Danio rerio: one gene and its partner. The main gene of each other region encodes a partner of the protein of the gene in region 2 in a complex. Links are inferred from orthologs where the notes say so. Each region holds a gene or a part of one and is shown on either strand. Other genes may lie near its edges.

The links.
Region 1: trappc11 (region 2) and trappc12 share a complex: the UniProt entries of both Homo sapiens proteins name them as parts of the multisubunit TRAPP (transport protein particle) complex. The link is inferred for Danio rerio from reciprocal best matches to the Homo sapiens genes TRAPPC11 and TRAPPC12.

The regions. Positions count from the first base shown.
Region 1 is NC_133192.1:57,317,479-57,321,315, reverse strand, and holds part of trappc12 (trafficking protein particle complex subunit 12), read left to right. Parts: intron 1-621; coding exon 622-720; intron 721-971; coding exon 972-1,075; intron 1,076-1,941; exon of another isoform or gene 1,942-2,155; coding exon 2,156-2,243; exon of another isoform or gene 2,244-2,327; coding exon 2,328-2,570; 3' UTR 2,571-3,837. UniProt on the Homo sapiens protein: Component of the TRAPP complex, which is involved in endoplasmic reticulum to Golgi apparatus trafficking at a very early stage.
Region 2 is NC_133189.1:7,876,978-7,880,814, forward strand, and holds part of trappc11 (trafficking protein particle complex subunit 11), read right to left. Parts: intron 927-3,837; coding exon 739-926; intron 534-738; coding exon 385-533; intron 1-384. UniProt on the Homo sapiens protein: Involved in endoplasmic reticulum to Golgi apparatus trafficking at a very early stage.

The DNA of each region.
Region 1 (3,837 bases), on a different chromosome or scaffold from region 2:
AGGTTGGGAACTACTGCTGTAGACTATCAAAAAAAAAAAAAAAAACACAGCTTAAATGGGCTAATAATATTGTCCTTAAAATGGTTTTTAAAAAATTAAAAACTGCTTTCATTCTAGCCAAAATAAAACAAATGAGACTGTATTATATTATCAAAAATATTATCAGACATACTGTGAAAATTTTCTTGCTCTGTCAAACATAATTTGGGAAATAAAAAAATAAAAAGCAAAGAGGGGCTAAAAAATCTGACTTCAACTGTTTATAGAAGTGAATTATTAGTCCTCCACTAGTACTTTCATGTTGTTTTTGTCATTTATTTTTTACTGATATTGTATGGCTAAGAGCTGCAGGAATAAACACATTAAGATGATAATAATAAAGATTAATATATTATTATCATATATTATTTATATATATATATATATATATATATTATTTATATATATATATATATATATATATATATATATATATATATATATATATATATATATATATATATATATATATATATATATATATATATGTGTGTGTGTGTGTGTGTGTGTGTGTATAAAATAATCAAGAATTAATTCACTAACAGCTAATTCTCTTGTTTGTTTTGTTCGTCTCACATGAAGGACTATGTGTTGGCTGTGGAGACGTATCGCTCCATCATCGAGTTTGAGCCGGAGCAGAAAGTGCAGCTGCTGAGTGGAATCGGACGCATTTTCCTGCAGGTGAGAGCAGAGACGCCTGGGGCCTGTAGCATGAAGACAGATCAGCTGGATACGTTTTAGTTTAGTTTGCGCCAATTCTGAGTTTTAGGTACCATGAAGGCAGCTCAGCTTAGCTCTCACTGAACGACTGAACGCTTGTCTTTCCTCTGCAGAGTTGCTTATTTTTGAAGAGTATCAAAGAGTCTGTTTTGCTCTTCATGTTTTATCTTCACTCAGATGGTAATTAACTTTCTGTTTGCTGGGATTATTAGATCGGAGACATCAGAACTGCGGAGAAATATTTTCAGGATGTGGAAAACGCCTGTCAGTCAAAGGGAAAAACAGCCACTGAAGAAACCTCGGTTCTGATGAACAGGTAAACGCCGATGTCAGTCACTTACTTCTATATTTCATGTGTGCACAGTATAGTATTGTGTGCGTCGCAGATGAAAATGAGAACGGAGGTCGTGTCGTGGATGAAAGTTAGGACCGGGGGGATGCGTCACTGATGAAAGTGAGTACCGGGTAGGGTTGCCGCCCTCACTATTATGCCGCCTTATGGACACGCCGGCCCTGAAGATAGTATTGTGTGCGCACGACATATACATACACATTGTGTGTGCACAACATAGACATACATATCATGTGTGTATGGCATAGACATACATATGGTGTGTGCACAACATAGTATTGTGTGTGCACGACATATACATACATATCGTGTGTGCACAACATAGACATACATATCATGTGTGCATGGCATAGACATACATATCGTGTGCAAACGACATATACACACACACACATCATGTGTGCATAACATAGCAATATGTGCGCACGACATATACATACATATCGTGTGTGCACAACATAGTATTGTGTGTGCACGACATATACACACACACACACATCGTGTGTGCATAACATAGCAATATGTGCGCACGACATATACATACATATCGTGTGTGCACAACATAGACATACATATCATGTGTGCATGGCATAGACATACATATCGTGTGTGCACGACATATACACACACACACACACATCATGTGTGCATAACATAGCAATATGTGTGCACGACATATACATACATATCGTGTGTGCACGACATATACACACACACACACACATTGTGTGTGCATAACATAGCAATATGTGCGCACGACATATACATACATATCGTGTGTGCACAACATAGTATTGTGTGCGCACGACTTAGTATTACATGTAAGTCTTGATTTGCACATCAATTTAATGATTACAGTGGTGTAAACTTGAGTTTTGATATTATTGGGCTGTTTTTGACTGGACATTAGGCCAGTTTTTTTATAAACATCTGGCAACCTTAACCTGTGTATAGACCTGCTATCAGGGTTCATGTATGTTATGTTTGAAGCAGCACTGTGCACATTTCAAACCACTTTTAACCGTATTGTAATGACATCAACAGGGCTTTTGTTTACCTGAGTCAGAATAACTACGCAGACGCGCACACGTGTTTCTCCAGTGTCCTACGCCTCGATCCCAAGAACCCAGTGGTAAACGCTCAACCCTTTATTCTTGTACACACGATCATAAGCACCACCAGAGAAGCATTAGTACTAACAATATTTTTTTTTCAGGCAAACAACAACGCAGCCGTGTGTCTCCTGTACTTGGGAAGGCTAAAGGAGTCCCTGGGCCAGCTGGAGAGCCTGGTGCACAAGGACCCGGCACTGTACCTGCACGAAAGCGTACTCTTCAACCTCACCACCATGTACGAGCTGGAGTCGTCACGCAGCACACAGAAAAAACAGGCGCTACTGGAGGCCGCCGCATGCAGAGAAGGAGACAGCTTTAACATCCAGTGCCTCAAGCTAGTATGAGACGCACACCACCCACACACAATCCAACACACACTGCAAAAAACACTCGTCTCTTTCTAGTCCAAATATTCAAACATTCTGAAGTCAAGAAGCGTTTTTTTTAGACAACTATCAAATATTGTTTTGTTTTTATGAATATGAAGTCAAAATGAAGTGAGTTTTTGCTTAAAACATGTAAAATAATCTTGTTTTTGGTTTGAAATAACACCGTTTACCTCATTGGCAGATTATTTCACTTGATTTTTGAAGGTCAAACTCACTTAAAGGGATAGTTCAGCCCTACATTTTTTATTTACTCACCATCTACTCACTCTCAAGTGGTTTCTTTCTTCTGTTAAACACAAAAGGAGAAATTTTAAAGAAAGTTGAAATCCTGTAACCATTGACTTCCATTGTAGGAAAAACAAATACTATGGAAGTCAATGGTTACAGGTTTTTCTTTTCTTTCTTCAAAGTATCTTCTTTTGTGTTCAAAAGAAGAAAGAAACTCATGAGGGTAAGAGGTGAGTGAACCATGAAAGAATTTTCTTTTTTTGGGTGAACTATCCCTTTAATTTCGACGACTTATTTCTGAAAACAATTATTTTTATTCCTCTAGGAAATGCTTCTTGATTTGAGGATTTTTAAATATTTGGATTAGAAACAAGACGAAAACTCTAAGTAAAACAGATTGTTTTGCAGTGGACTGGATATTAAAGGGATAGTTCACCCAAAAATTAAGCTTTACTCACTATTTACCCTCCCTCAGTCTTTATGAGTTTCTTAAAGTCAAACGAAGATAGTTTGAAGAATGTAGAAACCTGTAACCATTGATTTATGTACTAATAAATACTATGGAAGTGATTGGTTACAGGTTTCCAACATTTTTCAAAATATGTTCTGTTAAACACAAAAGAAAACAGTTTGAAGAATGTATAAACATGTAACCATTGACTTCTTTAGTCAAAAAGAGAGCTATGGAAGTCAATGGTTACAGATTTCCAACATTTTTCAAGATATCTTGTTTTGTGTTAATCAAAATAATACTAAAGTGTTAGTAAATGATGACAGAATTTTCATTTTTGGGTAAAATACCCTTTAATTAATAATCAGGCGGCAGGTTTGAGAGAATATTCTGAGGCCAGAATTGAATATATTGTCCCGCATTTAAAGCTTTTACGTGTTCATGTTTGTCAGTCGTCATGTGTGTGTGTACAGTCAGGACCAAAGTTACCTTGATAACTCGATGATATTTCCTCTGAGCAGGCCAGAAGAAGGGTTACACACC
Region 2 (3,837 bases):
AATTTGGGTAACACTTTACAATAACTACACACTATAAACCATTTATTAAGCATTAGCAAATAGTGAATTCATTATCTGTTAAGCATTAACTCTACATTAATAAACGTTAGTAAGAAGTTTATAACTGCAGCTACAAATGCTGTATTCTTGATTTATTAGCACCTATATAATGTGCTTAATAATTGTATTTTCATACTTAGTTAATGATTTATTTTTCAATACTAAATTAAGTATCCCATTATTTACAAACCATTTGTATTTAAGAGTAGTTGAGGATCTAGGATCATTCAGAATGAGTTAGTAAATGATTGATAAACTATTGAAATCAACATTTATATATCTCTATATAACTAAAACAATAAGTAATTTTCCCCCAGATAGTACCTGGTTTGAGGCCTGCAGTGAGTTTGATGTCTTTACCCACAGTGTCCTCTTCTGATTTGATGGTAACAGTCATACAGAACATCTCATTGGTAAGTGCTGGAGGCTCATGGGTCAGCTGTACAGAAATTTTGGGCACTCTAGAGATGATCCTACAGGGAATACAGAAAGGAAAACTTAGCTGTTTATTCCTTATTAATTTGAACTCGGCACATTTTGAATGAAACTTAAATGTCTAGTCACTAACCAATGACTTGACAACAACCATTTGAGAGTTAAAAATGTTTTAAGACCTATGATTTAAATCATTAATTTCTGAAGCGATATACTAGTTTTTCAGATTTTCTATTAACTTACATGGTACTAGACTGTACAGACACTGCGTCCCAGTCCACATGCTGCTCTGGGAGGCGTGTCCTCCTTTTAAATGAGCGGGAAGCTTGCAAACTCTCATGGGAAGAGGCCGCATCTCCCCAACCGCCCCGCCAATTCAGATAAACATAACGGCCCGTTTCTCGACCTAACATTAGTCCCACACTGGTGATCTGAAAGACAAAACCAGACAAACATCAAACAAACTAATCAGCTGTAAATCTGTGACAACACAAGATCTGAATTTACATGGACAGCTCACCCAAAATATTTACTCAGATTCAAGTGGTTCTAAACTTACTTAAGTTTCTTTTTTCTGTTGAACAAAAGACAAGATATACTGAGGAATGTTAGAAAAAAGCAGCCATTAGCCCAGGGATGGGCAAACTTGATCCTCGAGGGCCGGTGTCGCTGCAGAGTTTTGTTCCAACACTAGTCAAACACACCTGGACATGCTAATCAGTGTCTTTAAGATCACACGAAATCTATAAGCAGGTGTGTGTGATTAGGGTTGGAGCTAAACTGTGCAGGACACCGGTCCTCCAGGACCAAGTTTGCCCACCCCTGCATTAGACCCTTTCACACAGTGATACAAGTAAATATCAAGAAAATTTCCCAAACAACTTTACAGGTAAATACAAACGTGGGCTGATCACACTGGCATTGACGTTCCAGAATGTTTCTGAAAAGGATTATTCAAACGTCCATTTCAAAATACCGGTAAGTTCAAACATTATTAACCCAAAACGAGCTCTAAACAAACCCGAAGGGGGTCAGGCTTTTTGCTGATGGTTTCACTTTTGTTTAAGAGTGCTTTCACACCTATAGATCGATTGTTTTGTTCCGAAACAGGGATTAAAAAGGTTATAGCTACTTGGTTTTGATCTGAAGATATGCATTTTCTAATTTAATAACCAGTAACATTCTCTCACAGTCTTCTCTTCAGACTGAGAATAAAGATTTAATCATATTTAGTATACTATTAAGTGTATATATGACCTTTCCTGAATTGTGTTCATTCATTTATTCATTCATTTTCTGCCGCTTTTCCGGGGCCGGGTCGCGGGGGCAGCAGTCTTAGGAGAGAACCCCAGACTTCCCTCTCCCCAGACACTTTCTCCAGTTCCTCCGGGGGGATCCCGAGGCGTTGCCAGGCCATCCAAGAGACATAGTCCCTCCAGCATGTCCCCGAGGCCTCCTCCCGGTGGGACATGCCTGGAACACCTCCCTAGGTAGGCATCCAGGAGGCATCCGAAACAGATGCCAGAGCCACCTCAGCTGACTTCTCTCGATGTGGAGGAGCAGCGGCTCTACTCCGAGCTCCTCCCAGGTGTCAGAGCTACTCACCCTATCTATAAGGGTGTGCCCTGCCACCCTTCGAAGGAAACTCATTTCGGCCGCTTGTATCCGAGATCTTGTCCTTTCGGTCATGACCCAAAGCTCATGACCATAGGTGAGAGTTAAGGGTGTCACGATCCTCCAAATCCTCTATTCGATTACATTTTCGATTCTAAAGGCATGATTCGATTCGATTTTCGATTATGAATAATTAATTAATTAATGACCAATTAATTATTTGTAGCCTACCGTTTAAACTACCTGACCTGCATGGTCTTTGTTTTACCCATAAACAAATCATACAGTAAATGAATAAAGGCAAGATACACACATAATTACCACCTGTCAATCACTTTTTCTGCGGGACTCGTGAATAGGCAGTGATCTGTGTCATTATAATGGCGTCGGTAAAAAAGACGCACAACCAACAGGAACCAGCCAACAGTATCTGAGGTGTTGGCTAAAATGACAAAGTACAAGTGAGTGAAAGATTGAAGCAGTCCTCTGACTGCCTGGACCTGCTGTCTCAAGCTCATATGGCTGTGTGTGCGTCTGTGTCTGTGTGGTCACGTGATGTGCATTTTTTAGAGGTAGAGAGGAAGGAGGGCTGCTCAGAAACGCTACACACCACTGTGGATGTCAAATTGTGTCGTTCTAAAATGCCATTTTTAAACAGGGCCTGAGTGTGTACTTTTCGCGAGCGAATTTGCAACGGGGGCGGGCGGAGGATCGCGATGCCGGTGTTGTCTATCGGACGAACCGTACGTAATACGTACATAGCAGAGCTTGCAAAACTGTGTTTTTTTGTCGACAACACGAACGTTGTCAACATAACTCACTGGAAATCCAAAATGCTAACACACCGGCGACTTCATTGAAAGAGGAGAGGGTTTAAGCTCTGTCAACGGGTCTCCTGCTTCTGCAGTTTAACAAGCACTTCAACAAACCTGTTTTTTTCCCGCTTGGCGTGGCAGCATCGACGATTCTATTTTTTGATTCGATAATCGAAATTGAGCATAAATTTCGATTGATTTCGATTAAAAATCGAAATCGTGACACCCCTAGTGAGAGTAGGAACGTAGATTGACCGGTAAATCGGGAGATTTGCCTTTCCGCTCAGCTCATTCTGTTATTAATATTGTTTACATAATTTCTGATGGTTATTGTTATTATTGACTTTATTTAATTTTTACATTGTGTTTTGTAACTTTATCTGTATTGTATAAAAAAGTTAAATGACTGACAGTGAAAAATGTGTCCACCTTTTAAGCTGAAATATTGTATTGGTTATGCTGATACAGTAAATAAAAAAATAAATAAAATTGTTACAACGTTGCATTTTGTTATTGGTGTGGTTTGATTTCACATGACAAAGTTTCTAAACGGACCTAAAACAAGCTAAAACAAGTCATGTGTGAGTAAACTCTCCTCACATTAGTCAGAGTTTATTTTTGAGTCTCATATATTCCGCTCAGCTGTCATGTGTCAATATTTTAATTTATGATGATGAGCAATGAGACATTATAAGTGAAAAGGAGAACTTTAATTTTGAATGTTGACACTCACAGTCATCGAATATAAATCAGAGGTAAGATTTTCCCATAAACAGCCTCATTACAGTTGTCAAGGGTTGTGCTAATCTATTTATTGAACCAATTAATCTATTGCCTGTCATTTTTTGTAACATTTAATTAGTTATTTTAAAATAAGAAAAAGACATTCAATAACTTTGTTGCCATTATTAAT